Linked DNA regions of Lepisosteus oculatus. The main gene of each other region encodes a partner of the protein of the gene in region 2 in a complex. Links are inferred from orthologs where the notes say so. Each region holds a gene or a part of one and is shown on either strand. Other genes may lie near its edges.

Region 1 (7,195 bases), on a different chromosome or scaffold from region 2:
ACAGAACTGGTCACGAGGAGCTCGGGATCAAACCACGACCAGTCCAGGTCACTGCAAGGCACAAACAACACGTCTGTCAGACCATTTACCTGGAAAGCAGGAAGAGAGAGAGGACTGGGCTTCTGCTGTATTAACACACACCACGCTAGCAGATACTAGTGCATTACTCCTGCATGTCCTGCATATTCCACTAGGATCCTTTGAATTATACTTGCCCATGTAACATTGTGAAGTACAAAAGCAGCACAAGACTAAGTTATGATTTCATTATCAATAGTGCAATGAAAAAGCAAATAAGTGGGTCACATTGGCCACAATATATAACACATACTCTACTATGTGATGTGCACTGTGAAGAAAGATACAAGATGTGAAGAAGGGGTTAACTGATTCCTTTCTGCAAGAGGAAGGGACTTCTAAGCAACAGGCTCAAGTTATGGCAGGAAAGGGGGATAACCTGTAGCCATATCAATACTCAACATGTGATGTTTTATGCAAATATGTATGTATATTGTTGTTCCTGACTTTTTTTTGTTCTGTCTGTACACCAATACTAATAATAAAGACTCTCTCTGTTGATTTCAGCACTCTACCCCAAACCACCGGCCTGTCACCTGATGACGCGCGTGTGTCCCTGCAGCGAGGTGTGGATCTCCCCAGCGCCATCGCGCCACTTGTACAGGTCCACCCGCTGGTTACTCTGCAAGTACAAGAAGGCCTCTGGGTCAGACTGGCACTGAACCACTGCAGGGAAACCTGGGCTGTGCTTCTCAGCACTGTCACAGTGAAAATCAACCAGCCCTGTGTTTACTTCCAACACATCGACAGAAGGTTTTTTTAGAAGGTGGATCACTGAAAACACAAATTAAGCACAGGCACATAGACACAACTACTTTGTTCCACCAAACCTTGGCATTTTAAGATAAACTTAAAAGGGTGTTGAATTCTTCCATAATATTCTTAACTATTTTAGAAAAATTATATAGTTCTATCTCTTTCATTATATAGTTACTAAATACCACAGGATTTAAAAACCAAACTGCTTCAGTGACTTTGATCTGGGGTGCTAGAACATGTTTGGGGAACCAAGGGGGTGCAGATGCAGTAAAGGTTGAGGCAAACGATCTCGTCTGGTTCTCCTGTCACCACAGTCTCACCGAGGCGGCAAAGAAGTAGGCCCCCGACTCGTGGGGGTTCCACTGCACCGTCCCCACGTCCCACTTGCTCTGGCGGCCAATCTTGCGCGGGGCCTCGGAGGGGGTGTCCAGGTTCACGATGTACAGGAACCGCCGCCTGGGACACGCAGACAGGACACGGTTCACACCTGCTGCGGCTCCAGGTACCACACACCGAGCGGACACACCGCCACCCCGGATACCTTCTTTACAAAAGGTCGAGACAACATTCTTCACTTTTCCTTAAATAAAATAGATTACCGAGAAGCTCTAAAACAGTGTCACACCACTCTGAATCTTCAGTGCCGCACCATCTAGATTTTGTTCACTATGTACAATGCACTAGAATGCACCCCTCCACACTACGAAAGGTATACTGCTGTACTGCAAAGCGGAGTCCTGCTGTAATAAAACACTGCCCACAGGGGCAGTGTGGCTCTCATGGTGCATCATCACTGGCTGCCGCTGCTGGAGGTTGATGAGAGAGCTCACCCAGACAGCACAGCATGGCGGCCAAGGCAATCCACTGACATCGCAGTCGCCTGCAGAGACAGGACATAAAAGATGACTAACAATCCATAAACATCATTTTGTCCTTGTTTTTTTAGTAAATTGATAAGCAGCTGGATTTAATGTTCCCACCATTACGAGCAGCAAAAGGTTCCAAATTATTGTCATACAATTAACAGAAAATAGGCAAAATTAAGGTAAATTGAGCGATCTGTATTTAATGAATTAATTTAGTTAAAGCACTGATTACATATTCATTCCATAAAAATGTTTGAGAGGAATTAAAGGTTCCACGTGAAATCAACCTGTTTTGGGTACAACAATTAAGATTTTCTTGATATTCTACGAACACATTTATGTTGTGGAGTACTGATGTAAGGCACAACTGCACACTCACACCTCAAAAGTAAAATTGTAAGTTGCTTTGAATAAGATGAATCGTTAAGGTTTAATCTGAGAAATTGGAACGCTATTTTAATAGACACCTACTTCTCGGATACTCTTCAAAATCACAAAATTAACATTCAGCGTTGACTGCAATGTTAACGCAACCATAACTTTACAGTTCTTCACCACACTGTAGATAATTGCTATTAAACATACTTGTACTACAGTACTTTATACGCAAGACAAGAATACATTTCCTAATGCAACCTTAACGGAGCAGGGATGTGGGAGGCGAAAATTAGACAGGTCAGTTAGCCAGCATCGAGCTGGGGGTCAAACTGGAGAACAGAGGCAGATCTCACATCTGATCTGCTGACTCAGCGGGGGGAGGGGGGTTGGAATAAAACACACCAAAATAACCACAATTAGCCAACAATAAGCCACAATTTCCAACTGTCACTCAGTGAAGGGTTCTACAAATAAAACATTATATCATGTTTACTTCAGAGCAAGGATCCTCAATTCCGACTATCGAAGCCCGGAATCCATTCGATTTTATGTCCCCTAAAAAGTGAACGCCTCCTAACACTGAGGAAAAGGTTAAACTTTAAAAACATTGATGCATCCCTTCTTCGCAGTGTTAAACTGCTGACTAAAGAGATAAAGCAAAACTCCTGGTTTCTGCACTGACTGCAAACTGACTGAGTGACAACCCTAAGTTACAGAAAACCCTCATTCCTGCGAACGCTCTCGACGTGGTCAGTTGTGTCGGGAGTCTAAATCTCCACGACCACGACCAGCAGATCTATCGCTTTCCCGTGATCGAGACCCACAGTACCTGTGAATCTCTGAACTCCACCACCACATTCTCGCTGCTCCAGCGCGCCGCCATCTTGCCTCCCTTTCAGCACCATAACAACAACACCGTGACGTCACACGGCTGCCGGCGCTCCATAGGGCGTTCCTATATCCCAGAGTTCGCTGCGCTCGATGAACATAAGGTCTTGACTTCCGGGTCAATACTGATCACATGGCGCTGTTCTTAAAATAACTCTTCCTCGGTATCCTCCTGAAATCAGCTATGTGCTGTGTTTTACTCAATGGTGGGTGAAGTTCCTTTCCACCCCCAAAAGTGTAATTACACTTTGTCCATCCTCCTCGTTCACTACAGATAATGTATGCAAATATGTATTACTGATGAACCTAGAAATGTATGAGAATTGACACAGGTCGGCAGCTATAGGTAGGTTATAAGAAATACCATGAACACAGGGTGCTATTATTGATAGGTAAATCATATTCGTATAGCATCATTACCAATAATATCGCATCATTGCAAACACTATTTAGATACCTCTTTATTGGTAGATTATAATAAAAAATGCAAAGAGTATTTTATTTGATTAAAATTGACCCAAGTAAACAGACTCGTGATCATTTTCGGTAGTGCAAAACACCACCGACAGGGGGCAAACTCTTTTGTTATTCTGTGAAATCCTCTGACCTGCGCAAATTTAGCAATTTTCTGATTGGTTGTGCAACTGTTTCAAGATGTCTTCTGCCGTGGTGGAGCATGTTGTCGCGGATGCTGGAGCTTTTTTGAAGAAGGCGCCGTTGCAGGTGAGAAAGAGAGTGAGCGGAGCGCACAGGGATGTTGTTTCTGTATTAGCCGTGTACAGACAGAACCGAAGAGCTCACAATCAGGGGTGTGCCGTGCTGGGACAGCGGAGGTGTGAGTGCGTTGGTGCGCTGCTATCGCACTGGGAGAAGTGGCTCAGGGGTATAGCGTGGTAGTTTTTATTCTTCCGTATTGTAGATATTAAAATTCGAATGGTTTTTACTAGTAGCCATTTTCTCTTAAGGATCTTCAGTTGTTCCTAAGGTGTTGAGATTTAGATGTCGAACTAATCAAATTTAAGGTGGGTAGCTGCGTCAGCATGCGTAGGCTGCAGAGAAACACGTAATAGGTTTATTTTCTTTCTTCTCTTTTCAGCATGGAATAAACCTATTACTTGTTCCTAATCAAAATTAAGATTCGTCTGATATCCAGATTGTACTTTAAATATACTCTTTACCCATGTGACAAGTCTTGTCGCCCCTATTTTAGGACTTTGGGAAGAATATCTACACAGTGAAAGAGGTGGTGAATGAAATCCGGGACAAACAGACCAGGAACAGTTTGGCGTTCCTGCCGTATCAACTGCAGTTTAAGGAGCCCCTTCCCGAATTCATTCAAATTGGTGAGTTAATGTTTGGGCCTTTTGGTGTTATTGGCAATAACTCTACCTTCTGCATGTCAGAGTGTTATCTATGCCAAAGTTCATGTATGGATTAGCAAAATTGGACCTGTTTTGGCTTGGGCCAGTTGGTTAAAATACCAGTTATAGCCAATGCCATAAAAATAGTTAAAATGTTTGGAGACTGTTACACTTTTTGCTTCTCTCATTGGGAGGATGTACAGTAGATCAGAACTGTGATGTATCAGCATTGTCCAAAAGAATCTTAGCTATAATAAATGCCCCTTTGGGCTTCCACAGGCAGTGCACGAATCAATTTCTCCAACTGGGATTCTTTCACCTGGTTCTTGCTTTTTTGATTCCAGTGACTGAATTCTCCAAAAAGACCGGAGACTACCCAAGCCTCTCGGCGACGGACATTAAAGTGCTGGCTCTGACCTACCAGCTGGAGTCGGAGGTCCTTGGCGTCGCCCACCTCAAGACAGAACCAGAAGTGAAAGTAAGAAGAAAACGGCGGCTGTTCGGTTTTATAATAGTTTTATCATAATTTTCATTCGCAAGAGCACCTCGTGTGTCAATGCGTCCCGGAGTGCTGTGCAACGTGCAGAGAAAGATAAAAATGTGCATGGCAGACACACAGCAGTGCGGGCACAGCTCCTCGCGTGTCTAGGCGGAGTGCTCTACAGCCCGGGTTCGGCAGCTGTGCCCGGGGGCTCGTGGGTGAAATTCCCACACCAGCCACAGACTGGTGCTGGGAGTAGTGCCTGCAGTGAAGCGCTCAGCCGGGTGAGGAGGAGGTGGATTTCCACACGCACACAGGCGGCTCTGTCGGCGAGTAAAGGCCTGGGACCAGTGGGAACAGAATCCCGTCACGCGAACACTTGATTCAGAGTCAGGAGTGGAATAAGAACTATAAAATGACCAGAACCAAATGTCAGTGGCTAAAAGCGAGCAGAATTTTGAATTTTACTCTAAATTTAACAGGCAGTGAGAGCGCAGATGCTAAATTGGGTTTGATGTGTTCATCTGATTTCAAGACCCAAAGCAGATGGGTCCTGCGCAGACTGCAGTTTGACAACTTTCCTATTGGCAACCAATGAATAAAACAGTAAAACCTATATTTTTGTGTTTCAGGTCGAAGTGTGCAGCACCTGGAGACACCCAGAGGCACCCGTCAACATTGCTGGATTCCACATCCCGTCTAAGGTCAGAGGCCAAGGACACTGTGACCAGAATCCTGCTGGGACCTATAGAGACTGGTCTTCACAAACATATTTAACACAGACATGGCCAGCTGCTCAGTGTTCTCCTTCAAGCTGTAGGGTTAATTTTGTTTTCCAGTTTAAGTGTCCCGAGATATGATGAGGTGAGGTAACAGTCTGTGTAAGCAAATTCATTTTTGCAGGTTTGTTTTTAGTAGCTGCATTTAGCTTGATCGTCAATCCTGGAAAGAGTAGTAACAGTGCAAAACAGTGGTTAGAGACCTGGATTTATAGCTGGAAGATTGTGGGACTGCAGACTGCAGTTCACTCAGACTGCTCCAATAAAACTCTCACTTGTACAAATCAATATTGCTGCTGATAAAAGTGTCACAAAAATTAGTTAACAGCAAAGGATACCAACTTTTATTTTGCTCCAGTTTCCTGATGGACACTTCCACACAGCAGGCCAAGAGATTCCAATTCTAGTCCTGGAGGTCTAAAATAAACCTTGAGTTCTGAGTTACACAATTGAACCTTAATTGACTTAATAACTGGATTCATGTGATTTATTTTTAACATCAGCTTTTAAAAAAATGGAGATTGCCTTTTAACTGTCACATTTTGTAAGAAGCTTGTGTCAGAATTTTGAGTAGGAAAATATTGCAACATTTCCAATCAAGCAAGTCATTAGTTCAATTAAGGCTTCAATTAAGTAATTAAGCTCCGCTAGAAGGAAATCCAGCAAATACAAGGATATCCAGGAACAGGATGGGGAAGTCCTGTTTGTAGGTTATATAGTGGACAATATTTGATTTAAGTGTTTTTTTCTTTTGTTGTTGTTGCAGAAAGGTACTTCAGACAAGAATGTAGGAGTCAGACCAAATTGCTCCAAGTCACAGAATTCCAGCTCCCCAGACGATGCCCAGTTCAACTCCTTCCAGTTCTGGAGAAGCCCCTTGCCCAGCATTGAAGCTGACTTGCTGGAGTTACTGGTGAGGACTGGACAGAGCTGGAGTGGATGCCTGTTCTCCATTTCCAGCAGCAGTCCAAATGTTACTTCTAATGCCTTCTCTACCATTTTAATGTTTTCTTAAGGCAGGGGACACAGTGGCGCAGTGGTCAGCGTTGCTGCCTCTCAGCACTGGGGCCCTGTGTTCGGTTCCTGGGGTGCTGTCTGTGTCTGTGTGTGCCCTGCGATGGACTGGTGTTCTGTCCAGGGTGTATCCTGCCTTGCAACCATAGCTTCCTGGGATAGGCTCCAGCTCCCCTGGCTACCTTGTATTTGGCAACATAAGATGTAAGAGAGGTTACAGCTAAGCGGAGGCCATTGGGTCCAGCATGCTGGTATTGTTCCAAGACTCTCCAGCCGTTCCTTGAAGGAGTCCAGCTACATGGCTGATCAGCTTGCTTCAGCCACTCCGTGAGTAAATTATAGAACAGCTTTGGAATCCGTCTGCTGGGTTATGTGTTACTGCCTCGAGGCTGAACGAGGTCTGGAACTTCCCTGCTGCGGCTGTCCAGGCTGTAAGGAGGCCTGTTGTCTTTCTGCAGAACGCCGAGACGGTCTCGGCCGCGTGCAGTTCAGCGGGAGCGACTGTCGATGAGCTGCAGCCTGCGCCCGTCTCCGCGGATCAGTGCTGCGGGGAGTCCCGGACAGCGGGGAGCGTGGGAGAGGAGGAGGAGG
Region 2 (7,224 bases):
TGAAGTAACTGCCTGCTGAGTTGGTCAAAACTAAATTGTTCAGAAAATGAAAAATCAAGCTACAATCAAGCTACCTGCTCAATTGTGGCTGTACAAGACCCACCCCTGTGTTATTCATACCTTATTTCTGACAATTTCAAGCAAATCACAAAGGAACAGATGGAGGCTCTGCGATTCTACTTTCCAGAGTGACCTGCTTTGTAATACGCTGATCTCAACACACCCCTACCTAAATCAACACATATTGCCCCTACATTAGTGCCTGCCCAATTTTCTTACATCATGCCTCCTCTTTTTCTGTCATGTGGTGTCCCGCTCCAGGATTGCTGGTGCCATTGTTTTGGGAGAGTACCAGGAACATCACAATGTATAACCTGAAGGACACTTGTAAACGAGAACCCCAATGGAAAAATCGTTGGTGGGGACATGGAACACGCTAGGCAGCCACATTGTAGAAGGCGATACCACCTTTCAAGAAAAGGCAGAACGAGAACTTTCATGGAAAAATCTCTACAAACTATTAAAAGAGCTGAGAGGAGAGAAACGAGAGGAGGCCATTCGGCCTTTCTCAGGTTATGACAAGAACTGCCTCCTGTTCTCTTTTTCCAAATACACTTCCAACCAATTAAGAGGCGAAACTTTTGATATTGCCCGTACACATGGGCTTGACAGAAAAAAAGGCTGTTTTTTTTTTTATAGAAGGAACTGAGGAACTCCCCAAAAAAACCTAACAGAGGTAGAAGAAAGACAATTTCGACAGGATGCAGCAGAACAGTAGAAGCTGCAAGCATTTCTCAGTCTTCTGCTTCTCAGGCCTGAACTCATTCAGGCCGTTGGAAAAAGTACTTAAAAGCAAAACACCACAACCTTCTCCCACAGCCGGGAAGCTTAAGAAATGGCTTTCAAATGTACAACACCACAGTCTGCTCGACCCAGGCTGCTGGTTAGTGAATTCAACAGTAGCAAGATCTGCGCTGAATCTAGTCGTTGGTGTGTGTACTGTATAGAACTGTAGCTCTGCGTGATACAGAAACCTCCTCCTCGGGTTTCTCATTCCAACTCCCCCCACACACATGCTCTCAGATGGAAAGCCTCTGCCTGCGGTGGTCGTGGTGCTGTTCAGTGTCTGCTTTACATTCCTTTCCATTTTTCTGAGAGGACAGATTATCTGCCAACCACGTTATGAACCATAACTCACGAAGGTCTTTTAAAAAGAAGATTCGCTTGAATAAATGAATGACTGGCAGGCTCCCCTTGGAGATGGGAGATTTAATGAGAGCTCTTTATGAAGTCTGACCACATATATTAGCACGACTGAGAAGAATCAATTTATGAAGGGTAGGGTTGATGTTATAATGCTGGGCTTCGGCCTGTGAGAGGAAGCCAGAGGACCCAGAGGTAGCCAACAGAAACACAGTGAGAGAACCTACAAATTCCACGCAGGCAGCACCCCAGGAATTGAACCCAGGGCCTAACTGCACTACTGAGCCTCCACTCGATCCAGCTTTTCAGAGCCTATATTTAATTACCTCAGGTCCCCAATTTGGCAAATGATCCAAGCAGAAAGAGCAAGAAAAAATATGCAGCAGAGACAAACCAGGACATGATGCAGGGAAAGGCCCTTTGCCGTCTTCAACTAATTCCTGATCTACAGTGTCGTAGGCGAATGAAAACACTTTTATCAACACATTCTGGGCGGAAGATTAAAAAAAAACTAAGCACTGGTTTTGAATAATCCTCACCTTCCAACTGGCTGTGCAGTGCCATTCTCCGTTTTCACTTTTGTCCCAGACCTGAAACAATCACAGAATCAGCTCTTGTAAATATTCTCTGTGTATTTTGTTTATCTTTCTATAAATAACACTATTTTTTGAAAAATAAACATCGATTTTTGCTAATGGGATCAAACATTGCCCAGTCTTTCCAGAAAAGCCATGAAATTGTTTTACCGATTTGGAAAACAATAATTAAATAACTGGCTCAAACTCATCCTTGGCTTGAACATCTAAAAGCTTTGAAAATCATCTCTGCATGGAATGTTAGACAGCAGCAGTAAATACTAAAATGTCAGGATGTTCCGCAATACGTCTCAAAGATTTATATAGCTATGTACAAGCTACGAGCTAATGTATTAAGAAAAATAATTTGGTTAAAATCTGTTCTACAAGTGTGTGCAGCTAGGGGGAAATTAATGAACCTTTATCTCGGTGACATAGTAGTAGTAAAATATACCAGCTATTAATCTTTTAATGATGTATTACTTGTGAAGCTTGAACGTCTTAAAACGATAGATTTAAATAAAACACTTGAACAAGTCGTACTATTATACGTCTTCAAGTGGCGCATTGAGGACTTCATAGAAGCAAACGTATACTTGAGGGTTTCTGATATAGTATAACCTGCTAAACCAAGGCTTTATAAAGGACTGTATCCGAGCTCTTCGTGGTTAAAGTATATGTGTTCCCAGCCCAGAGCGGAAAACTAAATTCAAACCCCAATGCAAGATAAATTCACTCGTGACATTCACAGACCCGGCGCCCAACTCTCAGGCCTACACAGCCCGTTTGTTTACATGCTGCAACGCAGAAACGCTTCAAGCCGATTGCTTCGTGCAGCTGTTAAATTTACGCTTCCTAGCACGATGGGTACTGATTTATTGACAGGACTCCTCGGCGTTAGGATGATGTATTCATCTTTTTAAAAAAAAAACTCGCATGGAATTACCTTGACACTCTGGTCGCTGGAACAAGTCGCCATTCTCCTGCCGTGAAAATCGTAGGAAACATCGTGGATCAGATCCTTGTGATCCGCCGCAATGCTCCGAGCGACGAACATCGTCCACCGGCGCTGTTCTGAACTCTTCAAAGGCGTGTTTTAAAGCGTTACAATTCACCCCAGACTTTATTTTTTCTAATGCAACCTAGATTTAACTACATGTGAGCGCTGCACCTACGTTCTCCAACCCATTTCTGGCGCCTGCCTTCATGAGGTCATTGCAACAGTCCACCACAAGATGGCACCTCGGGCTATTCCTCTGTTATTTCAGTGAGAAGTGAGTTTAATATGAACACATTCTGGGAAAATCCGATTTTACAACCCCTCAATTACAGTGACCCATGTAGCGTGTGTTTAGTTATTATGCACCATGATTTTATTTCCCAATAAAAGCAATTCCCCCAAGTTATCATTTGATGTAAAAAACATCTTTTACGAAGTATTGTGCAATAGCACAATATCACCCTGCAACTCACAACTGGCAGCCCACTGAAGCTAAGCAGGTGTGAGCCTGGTCAGTACCTGGATGGGAGACCTCCTGGGAAAAACTAAGGTTGCTGCTGGAAGAGGTGTTAGTGGGGCCAGCAGGGGGTGCTCACCCTGTGGTCCATGTGGGTCCTAATGCCCCAGTATAGTGATGGGGACACTATACTGTAAACAGGCGCCGTCCTTCGGATGAGACGTAAAACCGAGGTCCTGACTCTCTGTGGTCATTAAAAATCCCAGGGTGCTTCTCGAAAAGAGTAGGGGTGTAACCCCGGTGTCCTGGCCAAATTTCCAATTGGCCCTTACCAATCATGGCCTCCTAATAATCCCCTTCTATGAATTGGCTTCATTACTCTGCTCTCCTCCCCACTGAGAGCTGATGTGTGGTGAGCGTTCTGGCGCACTATGGCTGCCGTCGATGCTGCACATTGGTGGTGGTGGAGGGGAGTCCCCATTACCTGTAAAGCGCTTTGAGTGGTAATAATAAATTATTATTATAACAGTTCTTAAAAGCAAAGCAAATCTTCCCAACACTACTAACACTGCAACAAATCAGATTTTATGAGCGCTTTCCAGGAAGCTTAAAAAAAAACTGAACATTTAAAAAATCTTAATCGGATCTGCGTTTTGTCAACACAAGATCCATATGCAGATTTGATCAAATCATACAGATTCCACAGTTCGTTAATAACCTCATGATTTTGGATGAAGATTGATTTAGACATAACAAAAGAGAAGTTACAAACGAGAGAATAACAGCCAGCCCATCTAACCCGTTTGGTAGTAACTTTGAAAAAGAGGTAGCCGAACAATGAAACGATTTTCCAAATGATTTTTAGACTTAAAAGCACAACCTAAATATTCTCCCAAATAATGCGTTAAATATAGTTCAGTTAAAATGCTTCTATTGCTTCCATATGCTGTACTTTTTAAATGTGGATGTCTGCGGTGATGTTTATACACGTGTACTTAAAAGGGATGTCCGGCATTGTAGCTGTACAGCAGCGCGGAGAGGTTGTAATGACCACGAGTCAGCCACTAGAGGGCACTCAAGGCATAAAATGCGCTCGATGGCCACGATGCACTCACGCAGTATAAGGGTAAGGGATCACAGGTGATCATGTGGCAATTCCAATGGGGTATTCAAATTCCTGAAAGCCCCTCACCACCTCAGCTCTGGAGCTTCATGACTCCATGATGAGCAGCAGCAGCACCACAGTTGTCCAGGCAGAGGAAAATAACAGCAGGAATCTTGAACACTCCTCTTGGGGAGGGGGGCAGGACAACAGCATTAACATGGTAGATGAGGCCTAGACAGATACTCTATTGTCCACTACGGTTGTTTTTGGATTCTCCCACAGAAGTACAAAACACACAAGCAAAACATAAGAGTCAAATAGTCACAACATCAGTATGTGATACATAAATAAATGGGTAGTGGGGGGGACTACATTTACATACATTCACTGACACAGACGTCTTATAAAAGTTTTTATTTGAAATTGGTACCCTGTACCGTCTCTCTGAGGGGAGTATTATGACTTGAGAATGCAGAGGGTGGGTGGAATCAGCTGTAATGTTCCTCGCCCTTCTGAGAACTGTATTGTGATATAAATCGCTGAGCTGGGGCTGCTGTTTTCCAATTATTTTTCCGAGCTCCATGCCACACAGAGAACATAAGAACGGCTACAAACGAGAAGAGATGCCATTTGGTCTCCCTAGTTCGTTTGGTAGTTAATAGTTAATTGACACAAGGATCTCATCCAACTGCTTCTTGAAGGAAACCAGGGTATCGGGGAGCTTGCTCCACACCCCCGCCACTCTGGGAGTAAAGGAGTGCATCGTGCTCCCAGTTTTAACGGCATGTCCAAGTAGTTTCCACTTGCGTCCTCAGACTCACGTTTCTCTCTTCATCCCAAAGAAGTCTGCTGGATGAACCAAAGTGAAAATAATGAGGAACCACAGTTTTCAAATTCCATCAGAATAAGAAAAACATCACAACCAGTTCAGTTTGACTAATGCCAGACACTGTTAATGTGTATTAAGAAGGGTTATTGTTGCAATTGTTATTCTTATTAAAAGATTAAACTCATTTTTTTTTCCATTGCCTGGAAAGCTGGATGAGAGCTGTCAGAAAATACTATGTATTTGCTGGTGGTTCCAGATGGCAGTCTGATTGCACTGAGCTCATTGCTGAGTTCTGATTACACCTGAACCTAATGACATATCCCAGACCCTAACACTAAAACTAAGCACTCCCCAGAAATATTCCCAAACACACTGGACTGTGTCTAACACAGTATCAACACCATCATTACACTAGTGAAAGAATAAGATCCAAGAAGAATAACTTGTGTATTTCAGGTTTCCTGTTGACAGTTAGCTTTAACAGTTTTAGCAGCAATTGTTTCTGATAATTGTTACACATATATTAAATATCTGTAAGTAGCCATTAGAGGATTTTCGATCGCTTGTGTTATTCTCGGCTGACCTGTTTTCTTTTGTAGACAGTTCACTTAGAAAAATAGCACATGCAGCTACCGTCTAAGGTCAAGATTTCGTATTCTCCTGAGGGCTATGTTTCATGGGTTCAAGTTAAAAAAAAAATAACGCGAGGGCGAAAGAGCAAATAACTTCCCACGATTGATCACCACCCTTAAAAGGCTAATGTTCATTTCAGCAGCTTCCAGATGGGCAGGCACGATACCGGCACGACCCTGAAAAGCGGTAGTCGCCAAATGCCTCATTCCGTCAATGAAGTTTTGATTTGTGTCGTAAAAGGGACACGCCACTTCCCGATTCATCTGAAACCGAGTTATAACCTTTTTGTCAGACACAGCTTGACATTTTGCGCGGTTCACACAGCGCCGGTCTTACGCCCATCTCCTTTCCTTATTTCTTCCAACAGTTTTCAATACAGTCATGATGCGTGACACGTTATCGTTCATCGGGAGGCAGAAGAAGTAGGTAATAGAGAGCGAAGTTTTTTTTTTCGCTGCGGTTTGATGTTCTTGAAAAAGCGGCAAGAATATTGCAATTGTAGGCGGCGGGGGGGGGGTATATATGTGTGTCTGTGTGGGGTGGGTGATTAACCTAAAGCCTACACGTCCAGCTAAAAATACACCTGTCTAACCAATGACATTCATTCCGCCCGGTGTCATCCCTGGGCGCCAGACCTCCCTCCGCCGTCTCATCGCACATCCGACAACCTGCCTGCGCCTCCTCTCGCGCCGCAGCCCGAGCAGCGAAGGGCCCCCCGCCAGTGCGCAGGCGCGGGCAGAGGCGCCGCTCTCCGCGTTGATGTCAGTTACACGGACACGCAGTTTGTTTCGCCGTGTTCCGGCAAATGGCTCGGCTGGAGGATGTGTAGCGACTGAAGCCGTGAACGCCGACAACAACTGACTCAATTTCTACGTCCGCGGAGAAGGGAGGGGGGGGATTGGCACCGCACCGGCACAGCAACGATGGACCAGGAGTTTCGGGACATGGACTCGGCGGGCCGGTGGCAGAATTTGTACTTCGTAAGTCTCAACTCGCGTTTTTCGTTACCCCCTCTCCGCAGCAGCTGTGCTCTGGGAGACGTTTGAACGCCTAGCTTCCGACTTTCCTCTAGGAAGTTCCTGGGCCGCAGCCTGGCCTCGGCGGCGCGCACCGAGCCCGCGAGTGGTACTGCGCCTGCGCCGCCCAGACCCGTGGCGGCGGTGCGCATGCCCTGCTCGTTACCAGGAATTGCGGGAGCGCGCACCGGAGGTTTAAAAGGAATGTAGTAGACGCTAGAAAATTCTCCTGGATATTTCAAACAGCGATTTAAAAAAAATAACACCAAAAAAAAAAAGCTTCGCAAACATTGGACGTATCAAAAGCGTGTAGTGAGTGTTAGTTTTGTGTCTTAACCTGAAAGCAGGTTCTCAGTAGTAATCAGATAATCATATTTCGCTCAGTTCCAGCTGCGTAAAATAAACT
Region 3 (7,696 bases), about 5.5 Mb from region 2:
CTGAAACGTTTTTCAAGTTAAGGGTATTTTAGAAATGTTAGGTCATGAGTAATGACAGTCAACATTTTAACACTTTTCTTAAAAGATTTAACCTGTCTTAAATTAGCTGAGCAGGGACTGAATAATGAGATATACTGTATAAAAAGAAGACAAATGATCTGAAGATGGCACAAACTGTGATTCTTGCAATAAATTATGAAATTACAAGATGGTACCAAAGTATGCACAGAAATGTAAAATTAATTAAAACCATTTTTAAAGAAAAGTTGATGTCTCATTTACTGTACAGTACATGAACATTTTGGAAACCTTTGTAGCATGTAATCCTGTCTGAGTTGCAGCTGATTTTCACCATGTCTTTTTTTTTCATTCAGTTTTATTGAAAAAAAATCACCATAAACTCAATTATTTCTAAAAAGCAGGAATTAGTTGGAGTTGGATCCAAGCAGCTGGACTCCATACAACTGGTCCATTCACAACAACTGCAACATTTTGACCCTTGGAGACATTCTGGCCAGCATTCAGTCGATGAGATCTGGAGTAACCACCAAATGCCCTGTCAATCTCCAGTGCTCCTCTCTCAAATGTAGATAACAGCAATGTGTGAAGCACAACTTTCCACACCAGATGTAATAAAAAGACCAAATGATGCCAACATAAAATGTTAATTAAATATTAATACACACTCAGGAATATGAACACGGCTAAGACTACATAAGCCATCAATATTACATAAATAAATGTTAAAAAGGATATTTTGTGCTCATATTTCTCAGCTTTCTACTAAACTTTTCTTATCGAAAGTTCAGCAAAGTGTAAAGGTTCAATTTTGCCAATTTGACCATAGTGGTTTACGCAGGTTTATTTATGGCAGGTGTCTCCTTTTTATACTGTGCTTTGTTTTGCTTCCTGACAAGTTCATCTCATAGTGTTTTCATTTATTCTTTTTTCATTCTAAAGCAAATGGGTTGTAATCTGGCTGTGCGTTAAAGCTCATCATTAATGATGAAAAATAATCCATAACTTCAAGTTTCCCCTGTGGTATTACCTGAATGCGGAATCACCAGAATGTGTTTTATATGCGTTAAATACCTGACTGGATAACATGTTTAATTTATTTATGCTCACAAAACTTCGGAAGAAAGAAACAAGTGTCACTTGCCACAATTCATTGATACAGTAGTAATAACAATAGAAGCAGTATTAAAATAGAAATAATCAGAATGAATGGTAAGCTCTTTCATACTGCCATTCCTAAACCGCTTGATGTAACAAGCATTACCTGTTACAATATTGGAACAATTATTCTAAAGTTGTCAAGGTACAGATGCAGATGCATTAACAAACACTACTTTGTCAAGGCTTGCCACCATGTAACAGCTGCACTGCTAGAAGCAAAATTCCCTCACCATTCAGTATGAAATGAGATACAAGATCTGTGTTTTATTTTCAAAAAGACAATCCAAAATATTCGTTTTGTGAACAGATACTAGACAGAGTGCTGGTATAAAAGCTGATTTTTTTCCCAACATTTACATTTGCTTTACTTTCTGAAGATTTTATGAATGTACCCTACTTTAGCTAATGACCTGCGTTTTTTTTAAATAAAATTCTTTCCAAAAAAATATCCTCACCAGGTGCTTTGCCAAAGGGTGATGAATGAATTTTATAATATTCTCAACACTTTTAGTTTTGAGCCTTCACTCCCCGGCTCTTGAAAGAGTGCAAAATGACAAATTCAGAATCGTAACTAGACAGCATCTCCTAACTATGACGAGACTCTCTTCTTTTGGGAGGAAAAGTACTGAGTTTCCTGTGGACACCACAAAAGTAGAGTTTACTTCAGAATCCTCTCTAGAAGGTGATGTGCAGCCGTGCAACTTTCAGAATTCACACTCCCTTTTAGAAAATAATGTCTATGCACTTCTGACCAAATATTTTAAATGTCACCTAAATTTAACAAAAATAAATATTTATAGTCATGTGGGATAAGTATTTGGGAACAAAGGTCCAGAATATTTTTCCCGTGGGACCACGGAATGTGTGATAGAGCAGACGGGGAATAGCAAGAGGACATGTTGAACACACAGGATCTTCAGAGACACGGGAGGCACTTCTCTACACAAAGGGTTGTGGGTGTATGGAACAAGCTACCCCAGGCAGGCAGGTGAAGGTGATACAGTGGCTTTTTTTCAAAAGCAACACAATTAAGTTCTCAAATGAATTAGCTACTAGCAACCTAATGAGATACATTGGCCTGGATCGTCTCTTTGATTTTAATCTTTTGTAGGGTTTATGCCAGCAACTTAAGTATCTTTATGTGCCTTGCCAGGATCGAGCTATTCCAAAATCAGAGAACTCTCGGAAACACTTAATTGCTACCACAGACACTTGGCTTTTGCTATTTTCCACCTCCTACTCCAAGACAGATCTGACAAATTGAAAAACTTTAACTTCCCACAAGAACAAATGACTAAAACTAGAATTTCGTACTAGGAAGCCCTTTTGTGCTTTGATATCTGTTATGCTCATACATCATGAACCCTCCCACCAGAAAAGCTGAAGTTAAAGAAAAAATAGATATAATTTGAAACATTTCCAGAAGCCCTTTGAGAATTATCTTTCCAGATCTGAAAAAACCCCAGGATTTTTATAATGATGTTTTTATGTTGATTTCTAATATACATTACTTAAACATGTTTATCTGGATGTGCGTTAAAGGTCATTATTAATGTTGAAGAATATTCTGTAAGTAACAAAAATGCATCCCTCAAGAAAAGACCCCTGAATGACATAAACAATAGAAAGGGAACATTAGAGGTTAAAATTGCTCTGAAAAAAGAAGTTGTGATGTCTATTTCTGATGAAAACATGACTTGTGTTCAGCGTTGTGTTTTTTTTCTATTTCAGCGTGGAGTTTACTTTCCCTTGTTCCTTCGCTGCTCCGAGCTCTAAGCTCCAAGCAACAGAAACATGCTTATTTTAAAACTAGACAAGGCACTGCGTCTGCATATCTTTCTACACGTCAAAAACAAGTATCCCATTGTAAACATGCGCCTAGATTCTTGTCTCTTGCATATCGTTAACTGAAATCACCCATGAAGAGGAGGATTGTCATAATTCTCTTAAAAACTGTGACGGGAGAACATTTTTGCTGGGGGAGTAATTCGAATCTAATAAAACAAGCCTTTAACACTTGGTGATGAGACACCCACTCCTACAAGTACACACTAGCTATTGCCAGCTCCCAGGAATTTGTGACACGTGATTATTCAAGTGTACACAGTACATGCTGCTTTTGCACAAATTACAGAGTCTAATGATACAGATCATTCAAAAATCTCTTACTACCGGAACAGTTTAACGGGAGGGTTTACTACAGTTGTGCTTTCAAGTGGAAATCACGTGTGTGTATTTTTCAATGAAGCAAGTTTCCTATATCTATTATCATTACGCCAAAAACGGGCTAAAGGAAGGATGTGACACAAACCTAAACTCTGGAATATGATTTTAAAATAGACTAAAGAGAAAAAAACTGTTTCCATATCTTCAGACTTTGATATGGCCAGCAGCCATATCACCCTGCAACTCACATCTGGCAACCCACTGAAGCTCAGCAGGTGTGATGCAGGATGGGAGGTAGGTAGGTGCCTTTTCGGGCCATAAAGGCCCATGGGGGGCAAGGGCTACCATTTTTCTCAAACATCTGACACTGGAGGTGGCAGCATCACACTCCAGCTGGCCTGTTACCCCCAGAAGGATTAACCCCCTGGTACTCATTTGGAAAGCAGGCTGAGTGGACCTGGGAGCCGTCTGGAAGGAATTAGAGCAAGCAAAATCACTTACCCCTACCTGGGGTTGAACCCGAGACCTTCCAGTCAAGAACTAGACACCCTTGCTGCCTGAGCTACCACAGCTCACCGGGATGGGAGACCTCCAGGGAAAAACTCAGATTGCTGCTAGAAGAGGTATTAGAGAGTCCAGCAGGCGGCGCTCATCCCCGCGGTCTTCTTGAGTCCTAGTTGTGGCCTGAGTGACGGGGACACTATACTGTAAAAAGGCGCCGTCCTTCGGGTGAGACGTAAAACTGAGGTCCTGACTCTCCGTGGTCATTAAAAACACAGCGTGTGTCTTGGAAAGAGTGGAGGTGTCCCCCCGTGTCCCGGCCGAATTTGCCCCTGGCCTTTACCAGTCATGCCCTCCTAGTAATCCCCATCTCTGAACTGGCTTCATCACTCTGCTCTCCTCTCCACTGAGAGCTGGTGTGTGGGGAGAGGACTGGTGCATCATCCAGGTGGGGCTGCACACTGGTGGTGGTGGAGGGGATCCCCATTACCTGTAAAGCACTTTGAATGGAGTATCCAGGAAAAACACTATAAGTTATAGCACAATATAATCATAATAATTATTATTATTATTCTCTCTTCTCTTTTCAACATGGAATAAACCTATTACTTGTTCCTTATTATTTTTATTATTAAAATTCACCGACTTGTACAGTATTCCTTATAAGACACATCATGTGTAGAAGAATGCTAAACTACATATATTATTAACATTATACGCTATTTGGTACTTCTTTTTCTTAGATTCACATATTGGGCGTACATTCAAGCGCGATGCGGTAAGCGGCGCTGTATAATTTAACTCGAGTCCTGCGCAAGAACTGCCTGCCACGTAACTTGTTTCCCGGGGAATCATTTTGGTGTAGGACTGTTTTGGTGCCCGATGCTACTTTAATGTAAGAAACAAAAACATCGTGAGTTGCAACTGTTACTTTGTGCGTTTCGCATTTTGTCGCGGTGGCTTATCGTTATGGTGCGCATATAGTTTTGTTAATGGAGAAAGGATTTGCTTTAATTGTTTATTAGCTTGAGCTGCCAGTAGCGTGTTTCAGAAGTTTGCAGATCATTTTGTGTTCACGTGAGAGGTTATGATTCTAGATAGAAACTGCGGTTATAACATGGTTTGATTCAGGTATTTCCTCCCTGCTTCGGGTTGTCCGGATTTCTTAAGAGTTAATATTTCGTGCACGATTCTCTGCAAGCGCGGTACATAGTAGCTGCCGTCCTTTGGTCACGTTCCCTTAATCCAGTCATAAAATAATAATAAAAGTTGGGAAAACACGTTACTTTTCCTAATTTTAGTTGTTGTATTTGTTTCCCCCAAGTGATCCAGTGATGCCTGGATCTTGAGCTCACTGGAGCAGCGGTGATTGTTACTCGCCCAGGAAGATGAGTGCCTCGAAGCCCGATATCCTGTGGTCTCCCCATCACGTTGATCGCTATGTCATCTGTGACTCGGAGCTCAGCTTGTATCGCATCGCGTCGCTGGGGAGCGCGGAGACCAAAGCCGGAGTTCTCCAGCTCTCGGGAGAGACAGCAGCGACGCTGCTGGCAATCAATTCGGACACCCCGTACATGAAATGTGTAGCCTGGTACCCCAGGCCTGAGCCCGAATGCCTGCTTGCGGTGGGGCAAGCGAACGGACGCGTGGTGCTGACCAGTCTTGGGCAGAGCCACAACACCAAGTGCAAGGAATTAATGGGCAAAGAGTTCGTCCCGAAGCACGCCAGGCAGTGCAACACTTTGGCTTGGAACCCTGTGGACAGCAACTGGCTGGCCGCCGGACTTGACAAGCACCGGGCCGACTTCTCTGTATTGATCTGGGACATCAGCAGCAAATTTGCCCCCGAAGCCTCTGTCCCCACCGAGAAACTGCGTCTCTCGGCTGGCGACACCGACGCAGGCCTCGTGGTGACAAAGCCCCTCTACGAGCTGGGTCAAAATGACGCTTGCCTGTCCCTCTGCTGGCTCCCCCGGGACCAGAAGCTGCTTCTGGCCGGCATGCACCGCAACCTGGCCATTTTCGACTTGCGAAACACGAGCCAGAAGATGTTTGTCAACACTAAGGCCATCCAGGGGGTCACTGTTGACCCCCATTTCCATGACCGAGTCGCTTCCTTTTTCGAAGGCCAGGTGGCCATTTGGGATCTCCGGAAATTCGAAAAGCCGGTGTTGACCTTAACCGAGCAGCCGAAACCTCTGACCAAAGTGGCTTGGTGTCCCACCCGCACCGGACTTCTGGCCACCCTGACCAGAGACAGCAACGTCATCCGTCTGTACGACATGCAGCACACCCCGACCCCCCTCGGCGATGAGACGGAGCCCACCATCATCGAGAGGAGCGTGCAGCCGTGCGAGAACGTCATCGGCTCCTTTGCGTGGCACCCATCCAGCCAGAACCGCATGGTGGTGGTGTCGCCCAACCGCTGCATGACGGATTTCACGGTGTTCGAGCGCATCTCCCTGGCCTGGAGCTCCAGCACCTCCCTCATGTGGGCGTGTGGCAGGCACCTGTACGACTGCACGGAGGAGGCAGAGGCCGGCTCCCTCGAAATGGACATTGCCACTAAAATGAGGCAGCGAGCGCAGTCCAGATATGGCCATGACACTGAGCAGATCTGGAGGAACCACCTTTTAGCCGGTGGGGATGATCCTCAACTGAAATCTCTCTGGTACACTCTGTATTATATCCTTTATAGTAAAAAGGGTGATCTGTGACACGCCCGGTGATTCTGTCTGCATCTGAGTCCACATTGCTGTGAGCATCGCTCTGCACTTGAGCATCGCTTGCTTGTCCCTTCCTCTCTGTGTTGCGGTTTTTAATGAAACAGCCAACATTCCCCAGATCACTGTCGAGAGACTGATTGATTGGCTGGAGCTCAGTAATATACCAACTCCCCCCTGCCAGAACCATCATAGTCTCCGATGTGTGGTTTTTCTGTAATATATCCTCTTAAATCCAAATTACAGAGACTGTAAAACAAAGCATAAAAAGTTATATATATATATGTATAATGTGTTACTTTTCTTTTTGAATTGTATTTCTAGGTTCTATTTAATTGTATTTAAAGGTTCAGAGCACTTTTTATTTCAGTGTTAATTTCCTATGCATAAACCACTTATGAAACAGTACACTGAAGACCTGGAACAAAAGAACTTGGGGAACAGATTGCCTCTTGTCTATTCAGGCATAAAAAACATAGTGAAGTCAAGCTCAGGTAAGACATTTTTAACACACTTTTTCACTTCACACCGAATTGGCAGTGTCTTATGATTGAGTTGGTCTCCTCTTCCTTTCGATCTTTTTCTCTAATAGTGATTGCAATAGAACATACGGTTTCTTAGAAGTGCCCAAAAGCCCAATTTAAGTCATTGGCGTTTCATTAAAAGGTCCAGCAGTGTTTTAAAGATGTTACCACAGTGCAGAAACAGAAAAAAACGAAAGCAGTATGAACCTGTGCAGTGAAGTAGCTTAGCTGCCTGTAGATAAGCGTTAGGACCAGATTCTATGGGCAGCAAGTACAATATGATCAGTGTAAGTGTTGAGGAGCTACAATTAAAAAGGTGCATTTTATGTATTGCGTGTGAGATAGTGCTGTCCACATGAATTTTTTCTTTTTTAATTAATTTTATAATTTTTTGTAATCTCTTTCCCCATTATGCTCCGTGCACAGGAAATAGGCCTAGTCTTGCTCTCGGGAGGCTTTGGGGTGTCATAGCTGCCCGTACTCTTCTTTAACACTTCTTTGAAACTATTGGCAGACATTTGAGCTTCAGTCCCATCACACTGCTTTCTATCAAATTGTTGACCAGTGCTAACTGACAGATTGTGGTATCCGAAAGAAAGCTTG
Region 4 (7,123 bases), on a different chromosome or scaffold from region 2:
AGATGTGGTCTCTGCAGCCAAGAATTAAGTGAAGACTTTCACACAGGGGGGTATTCTGCACGTCTTTTCCTCTCTCCGATATTCACATGTACAAAAGCAGGCTGACACAGCTGTAACAGGATCAAAGCTCCGTTTACCCAGACCTATCACGTTAGTGTAGGGCGCCACTCTGGTCAAGCACTTATTTTAAGGTACTGAAAAGCTTTAAATTGCCTAGATTCTCATTTTTAATCCAATATTCCCCATTCCATAAACCACTAATGCTATCTGAAAGCCTCAGGAAAGAACCACAGGGGACATAGGTCATAAACATTTGAGCCCATAAACAACAGAACATCACCTCAGTCAGGTACAGAAACCTCTTTTCAAAGACTAAAAAATCATTTGTAGATCTGAGCATGACTTGAATAAAAAAATTCAAATGACAACTACCAGATGATCTTCAATGCAAATTGTATTTAACACTTTTCATCTGAATTTGTAAGGCACTGTACTTTTACTTGATTATTTCTACATTTTCTGCCGAGAATGCTCTGAAGAACATAAGAATATGGCCTTTCCAACCATTCTGCTCATTTGGTATCTAGGTAAACCTAAAATTTTATCAAGCTTCTTCCCAGCTTGATGGAGGAGACCTGACTTTGAGCCACAACAACCTGACTGTGAAGCCTGTTTCGGATACCCACAATGCTTTGAGTAAAGCGCAGCTTTACAATTTCTCTCCATGGTACAAAACATAAACCTTTCTAATGCACTTATTTTCTGTGGTATAATGCATGCTTTAAATACTGCAATCACAGCAGAATAATTAATCTGGCAAAATCACACAACCACAACACAAATCTGGGAACATGAACACACTTGAATGTGCTTAGATTATTCCTTATGTGACTGCCAGCAACTGACATGACATATTTGCTTAGTTTGTAACATTTACCATGACTTGTCGGTTACAAACACATCTGAGGAATTATGTTCTACTTATCAACCTGCTGGAGTGTGGATTCTGGGATCCATATGACCACCTTGGCAGAGAGATCAACATGCACAGCTGAGCGTAGGGAAATTGGGAAAGGACTTTCTCCCCCTATGGGACCACGACTGTCACACAGGAATTCTATTTTCTGGCACTTCTTGCTTTGTTGGAGTTGAAGAAAAAAAAACTGTGGAAAAGTTAAATGGACTTAAGTGCGTTATGAAAGTTGATCTCTATATAGGAAAAATGTTGGAAGCGGGGATATGCAGAGTGGAATTTTTTATCCTGCTATGATCTGACAACTATTTTTAACTGGATTGTATGTGATGGCTTTAAATATACACACAGGGGAACCTGTTAATCATACCGATTATTGATCAAAAAGAAAAATCACGTAAACCATGAGCTAATATTTCTCCCTCTGATGCCAGATTCAGCCGACAGATAACTTTTAGTAAGAAAATAGGAAAGGTTACAAAAGACAAGTTTGGTCCATCTAGGTGTTAAATGTTTAGCCATTCAGGGGTCTGAATGAAAGAAATCTGGTGATTTCTTGAAATAAGTCAGGGTATTGGCTTCAGCAACATGTCTCGGTAGCTCGTTCTACACTCCAACAACTCTTTGTGTAAAGAAGTGCCTCTTGTTCGCATTTCAAGTTGTTTCTGAATAGTACAAGTGCTCCCGCAGACAAGAGAACAAAATTCTAATTTCTCGATGTCTGGTGTCAGATTCCCTTTCTTTTACAGCAGGGGATTCTCCTAAAACAGGGAAAGGGTCAAATGAAAAGTGAGTTACCATGATTCTCGGAGAAGGAACTATAACTTGGATGGCTCCGATCAAGAAACCACAAGAAAGTCTACTTTTTCACGTGACGGAGTGTGAACTACATAAGACGTGCTGAGGAGCCAATGCCTGCATAGCCAAAGCGATCCCAGGGTACCAAGAAACAGTGGAATTTAGACAGAAATCAGCCTGGATCACTGTCTGAGACTCCAGCAACACGGTATGGGGGAGAAACACAGAGGTCCGGGGGTATTGCACTGCAGGGCTCCCCAGTCCTGGTCCTCAAGGGCTGTCAGTGTGCCTGCAGTCCCTAAGACTGAAGAGAGAAGCTGGTAAACTGGTCCAGTTAAGCCAGCAGCGATTTGATTCAGGTCAATATCACCCCAGCTGGACAGAAGACCTACAGTACGGACTCACCAGACCTAGTCAAAGTCCAGACCTAAATGTTGTGTCACGGGCAGTTTATGCTTGAAAACCCACAGATGTCACTGAGTTGAAGCAGTTCACGGGGACTGGAAGGAACTGGTTCTACTGGTTGAAGAGGGGAAAAAAAACTAAGCACGTTTGTAAGGGAGCAATATGTTTCCAGTCTTTACTGCATGCAGCTTACGAAGGGAAACTGGTTGATAAAGACTCGAAACCCGGCGCAGTCAAACTGAACTCCATATGCTCGAAGCCTTAAGAAGAAAATTCGTTGAAACTTCACGGGATGGTTTGACAGCACAGTGAGCAACGTGGTTGCTGCTCAGCCGAAATGTGCTCTGGGTGGAGACAAGAGGACTAAAACAGCGACAGCAGTCAGCAACGCACACAAATGAAGTTGTGCTCGACATGTGCTGCCCCGAGTGATAATACCTGCACCGATACAGAATGTGCTCTGATAAAACCCTGCAATCAACATGCTGGCATGCATCAACCGCCGGGTGTTTTCCTTAATATAAAAGTACAAATCAATTTCATTTCATTTGAACTTATTTCGTATGTTTTTGTTTTCTTAAAAGTCCTCACAATACTAAAAATATATATTGCCCTACACTGAAAATAAGTGAAGTGAAGTCACTCGTTCATATGATTACTTTTTCCACAACAGCTTAACAGCGTACCTACCAGGATATCGGAATGACACGGGTAAGGTCGCTAAATCCAACACGTTGGTGGTATTTCAGTGGTTTTTCGTGTTAAACTCAAGTTGTACCACCAGCTTGCACAACGCAGAAACAGAGAACCCGCGCGAGTCTGTTTTCTGCTTCCAGCAATCTGATTGGCTCCCCAGGATCATATCCGGGTGAAAGGTTGCCCCCTCTCATTGGCCAGTGTCTTGCTGTCAGGAGTTTTAAATTTTTTACATTTTCTGAAACAGCTTCCCTAGGGAGAGCATCACGGTTGTTGACACAGGGACTTGCAGGTACTTAAAAATATGTTAAAGCTGCCTTTAACGTGTATCTTAAGGTTATTTCCCCTTATACTTTAAGTAAGGTTTGAAGCGTTTGATCGTTTTGTTTGATACTGGCTTTGATGTTGCTTTTCTGAAGTTTGAAGTGTGAATGCGTTGTATTTCAAACGCATTGGTGTTGTTGTTAGTAATAATAACAACTTCTATTTATAAAGCGCCTCTCCAAACACGAGGACGCTGAAAACTGAAACACTTGTCTTATAAAATTGCGAGTACACAGACCCCCAATTAAAACCAATCTAGTTGGATTAGGTAGTGCTGGTTAGGCAACTCATAACTGTACGTCTTCGATCAGTCAAAGGAGCCATCACCACCAACCACCAACAGAAACATCGCTTTTATGTCGCATGTATGTGCTTATTGTTCACAAGTATCCCCCCGTTTGGTTTCTAGAAAAAATGGCGATTCTTCAACAAAATCTCAAGGTCCTGGTGAAAGCCTTCAGGAGAGACTGTTACCGGCTGCTCGGGTCCGAGAGGATAACGATATGCAATGCAGACGACATGTTCACGGCTTTGCAGCTGGTCATGGCCGAGGTGAACAAACAGGTGAGGTTTTGCACGACGAAGTAGTTCTCTAACCGTGAACATTAGGAGTTTCATTGAGTGCTAATCCACTCTGTGATCAGCTCTGACGTCATGTGCCTGTCCTCACACTGGCAGTCAACCTTCCATTCATAGAGAAAATAAAATGTAGACTAAATTCAAATCCAAATCTTGAATGTCTCCATATGAATCCAAATAAGTATGTTAGTGTTCACCCCTGATGCACCCTACTATACGTATCTGGACAAAAACCTACCAACACCAGGACTGGAGATTTAGGTGCTAAGAGTTTGCCTTCTGTACCCCAGTCATTCAGTGTGCCGTGCTCTTTTCCCATACTTGTTTTGTGTTTTTGACATCTTTTCTCAGTTTGTTTTTTGGTTTGTGCAGAGGACACCAGGTTGCAGGAAATTTAATCCTCTCCTCTTGAAAAAGTGTGTACGGCACATACTTGTAGTTATGCGCTGCCGAACCTATTAGTTTTAGTCAAGTCCTATTTGTGTTAGAAGACGCACTAGTTACGGTTTTAATTTCTGTGGTCTAAAATAATGTGGCCCTGCTCTTCAGAGGAATCTTTCCCTGGCTAGATGTACAGAGCCCTGTAATATCTGAGGAATGTGTAACTGGATTAGTACCTGCTGGGATTCCATGAGGAGCACATGACTTAACAGCTTTAATAGTTATTTTTATGTCAGCTTGGCTTTCTGTGCGGATGAGGGAACAGCATTGCAACACATTGATGAAAAACATTTGTGTATCCAGGAGGAAATCCCTTTTTTATGTGGACAAGATTTTCATAAGGTTATCATCATTCTGCTATGATAGGGGGGGGGGGACAGATAAATGGGCTTAATCAGTTCTATGCATGAAATGAAAGACATGAACCAGATAATACATTACATGAGATGAACATGAGTACTGGGTTCATATTATTCCCTTCTTGTTTCCATTTAGGAGAAAGGAGAATTTGCTGTTTCACTGAGTGAAGTCATTGTCACCTGGGCTTATTTACTTAAGGATAAACTGAACTTATTCCATGAAGGTTCACATGCTCCAGAGAATTACAACATCATACGGAAAAGCTATGACTCCTTCCTGAAGAGATCGAATACTGTAGACTTGATTGACATCTTTGGGATGGCTGAGCAGTTAAAAATAGAAAGCGATCCAGAAAATCGCCTTGCAGCTGTAAGTACCCCTGTTGGGAATCCTGCTTGCTACATATAAATGAGGAAATCTTCTGCAATGCTTTAGTGCAATGTGACCTCTGAGGCTCCTTTACTTTTTGAGGTGCTGTTTAAGTCATGGCTTATGTAGTGTTAAAACAATCACTCCCTTCATCCCCCAGAATACCTCCTTAACCTCTGTAAAATAAAACTGGTTCAGGGCTGACTTCTCTTCATCTCTAAATGTTTTGGAATTTAGAAATGTCATTTCTAAAAGTCCATTTTCTAAATGTCATTAATAAAAATTACATTCAGATTATGTTGTGAATTGATGGTAGGGTAGCACAGTGCTCAGCATTGGGGAGCTGACTTCAGTTTTTGATCTGGGGTGCTATTTGTGTGGAGTTTGTATGTTCTCTCATTTGCATGGGTTTCCTCCCACAGTCCTGAGATGTACTGGTAGGTTGATTGGCTTGTTGCATTAAGTAGGCATGTCTGTGAGGCCCTACAATAGACTGACGTCCCATCCAAGGTGTATCCTGCCATGCGCCTGTTACTTGCTGGGATGGGCCGTGGCTCCCCTGCGATCCTGAATTTTGACTGGCATCCAGATTTTCAGGTGGGATTGTACTAGGGGAATCTTGGCTGTTGGTGATTATTCTCTCCTTTGAAAAAGGTCCAGCTGTTTGAGTTTCTGTCAGGTAACTCTGAATACTGCGATCAGATTGACCTTGTCCCTCCAGTTCCATCGACTCCATCCAGCAGGCCCCGATGGACAAGTTCCCAGGTACACTTAGTGCTGTTTTGACTCCAGAAGACAGCCACTCTTCTTTTTCCGTTGTTCGTAATATTTTATTGTGATTATTGTATGTAGATGACACGATAGATAGTTGACATTTTAAATTCAAATCCTGTGGTCATCAGCAACAAACGTGCCTGCTTTTCATAGTGTTTGAATCAATAAAATTGAGATCCAAGCGTAATGTTTTTCTAAGTTTTCAAAAATGATATTGGACACCTGCTATAGGATCCACGCGTCAAGGAATTGGATACATATTAACGATTTGCTCAGCAAGCATCTGATATCGTGGTTCTGTACAATACATGGAGTACTTGTGCCTTAGTCTTATCTGCCTTGTTTGACGTAATAGATTTGAACTTTGGTTAGCCAAAGAACACAGTGTTCTCGACTGTGAAACCGTAAAACTGACAAGAACATAGGTCTTCAGAGGACTTTTTTCCGTCGTGTTCTGCTCTTCCTGTCCAGTGTTTTCAGTGGAAGCTCCCTCAGTAACGAGAAAGTTAAATCCTATTGCCCTGACTGATGAGAGCAAATGGATCTAGTTTAGCAGGATTTATAAAATGACATATGATTACAGCAAGAATATCCGTGTCCGTGGAGTAATTCTTAAGCTCTTATGATCTTAATTAGAAGTTACAAGCAATGGATGGGACAGCCTTTGCTTAAGTTTGTTAGTAGCTTTTGATGTGTGTGTGTTCTGTGTTCTCTGATATGATGGGGGGAGGTATTGGTTGCTTGGTGATTTATGAGTACGTTTTCAGACATCTAGGATGCATTGCAAACAATTTGTGGCTACAGTGTGCTCTTTCATTCTTGATTTTAAAACGAACAATTTTCTAAATGCACTGTGAATATGTAGATGGGCTTATTGAAAGAAATGTGCAGGGTCTTTGAACTGTAAAGTATTGGCTGCTTGGTTAACAGTAGAGGTTGGCAATGAACAATGTTATTTTAGATTGTTTTAAATTGGGTGGGGTGGCCTTCACCAGCTATAGTCTTCAAGGTGCCTTTTTTTATTTGATAACTGGAAAAACATTTTTCCTATCTCTAAGTGTCATTTGAACGGTTTTACTCTCTCTTCGGCCTTATTCCTAAAACAGCTGCTGCGTTATTGTTTTTGAAAACAGATGTTCTATCCGTTTTGTGCAGGCTGAACTTAACGTTTGTTTTGCATTTCTTTCCAATGCAGTTGCTGAAAGTGATGAAGAGGCTAATCTGTGCATACTTAAACTTGCTGCTGAACTCCAAGAACGATCTGGCTGTGGCCCATGTGCTAAACATTCCTGACAGAGGCCTTGGAAGAGCTGCCTTCACCGATCTGAAGCATGCAGCACGCGACAAACAAACGTCTCTTTTCTTGGTAGGAGGCAAAAAGAGGACATTGTCTCTGGCAATAGG

The links.
Region 1: the proteins of seh1l (region 2) and wdr59 are in contact, whole or in part, in a cryo-EM structure (PDB 7UHY), measured with the Homo sapiens proteins. The link is inferred for Lepisosteus oculatus from reciprocal best matches to the Homo sapiens genes SEH1L and WDR59. Residues at the interface, in NP_112493.2 of Homo sapiens: Asn308, Tyr309, Met310, Asn312, Lys314; in NP_085058.3 of Homo sapiens: Pro713, Asp714, Glu716, Thr717, Pro718, Arg721, Arg837, Glu840, Gln843, His844, Asn847.
Region 3: the proteins of seh1l (region 2) and mios are in contact, whole or in part, in a cryo-EM structure (PDB 7UHY), measured with the Homo sapiens proteins. The link is inferred for Lepisosteus oculatus from reciprocal best matches to the Homo sapiens genes SEH1L and MIOS. Residues at the interface, in NP_112493.2 of Homo sapiens: Met1, Phe2, Val3, Ala4, Arg5, Ser6, Ile7, Ala9, His11, Lys12, Asp13, Leu14, Ile15, His16, Asp17, Val18, Phe20, Phe22, His23, Gly24, Arg25, Met27, Trp47, Ser173, Ser174, Ser175, Asn230, Leu231, Gly232, Arg233; in NP_001357005.1 of Homo sapiens: Arg279, Arg316, Ser317, Phe353, Glu354, Arg355, Ile356, Ser357, Leu358, Ala359, Trp360, Pro362, Leu366, Met367, Trp368, Ala369, Cys370, Gly371, Arg372, Leu374, Tyr375, Glu376, Cys377, Thr378, Glu379, Glu380, Glu387, Asp389, Ile390, Ala391.
Region 4: seh1l (region 2) and nup37 share a complex: the UniProt entries of both Homo sapiens proteins name them as parts of the nup107-160 subcomplex of the nuclear pore complex. The link is inferred for Lepisosteus oculatus from reciprocal best matches to the Homo sapiens genes SEH1L and NUP37.

The regions. Positions count from the first base shown.
Region 1 is NC_090715.1:16,379,761-16,386,955, forward strand, and holds the start of wdr59 (GATOR2 complex protein WDR59), read right to left. Parts: upstream 3,017-7,195; 5' UTR 2,965-3,016; coding exon 2,911-2,964; intron 1,718-2,910; coding exon 1,668-1,717; intron 1,294-1,667; coding exon 1,158-1,293; intron 701-1,157; coding exon 615-700; intron 52-614; coding exon 1-51. Other genes in the region: RNA-binding protein NOB1, read left to right, coding at 3,173-3,175, 3,624-3,692, 4,180-4,312, 4,675-4,808, 5,444-5,515, 6,357-6,503, 7,063-7,195. UniProt on the Homo sapiens protein: As a component of the GATOR2 complex, functions as an activator of the amino acid-sensing branch of the mTORC1 signaling pathway. The GATOR2 complex indirectly activates mTORC1 through the inhibition of the GATOR1 subcomplex.
Region 2 is NC_090705.1:9,368,369-9,375,592, reverse strand, and holds the start of seh1l (nucleoporin SEH1), read right to left. Parts: upstream 3,018-7,224; 5' UTR 2,836-3,017; coding exon 2,725-2,835; intron 1,794-2,724; coding exon 1,743-1,793; intron 1-1,742. Other genes in the region: ptpn2b (tyrosine-protein phosphatase non-receptor type 2), read left to right, coding at 6,726-6,782. UniProt on the Homo sapiens protein: Component of the Nup107-160 subcomplex of the nuclear pore complex (NPC). The Nup107-160 subcomplex is required for the assembly of a functional NPC.
Region 3 is NC_090705.1:3,822,340-3,830,035, reverse strand, and holds the start of mios (GATOR2 complex protein MIOS), read left to right. Parts: upstream 1-4,681; 5' UTR 4,682-4,741; exon of another isoform or gene 4,742-4,759; intron 4,760-4,795; exon of another isoform or gene 4,796-4,818; intron 4,819-5,170; 5' UTR 5,171-5,234; coding exon 5,235-6,531; intron 6,532-6,964; coding exon 6,965-7,063; intron 7,064-7,696. UniProt on the Homo sapiens protein: As a component of the GATOR2 complex, functions as an activator of the amino acid-sensing branch of the mTORC1 signaling pathway. The GATOR2 complex indirectly activates mTORC1 through the inhibition of the GATOR1 subcomplex.
Region 4 is NC_090702.1:54,841,457-54,848,579, reverse strand, and holds the start of nup37 (nucleoporin Nup37), read right to left. Parts: upstream 3,021-7,123; 5' UTR 2,867-3,020; intron 1-2,866. Other genes in the region: parpbp (PCNA-interacting partner), read left to right, coding at 3,611-3,760, 4,712-4,945, 5,600-5,710, 6,915-7,085. UniProt on the Homo sapiens protein: Component of the Nup107-160 subcomplex of the nuclear pore complex (NPC). The Nup107-160 subcomplex is required for the assembly of a functional NPC.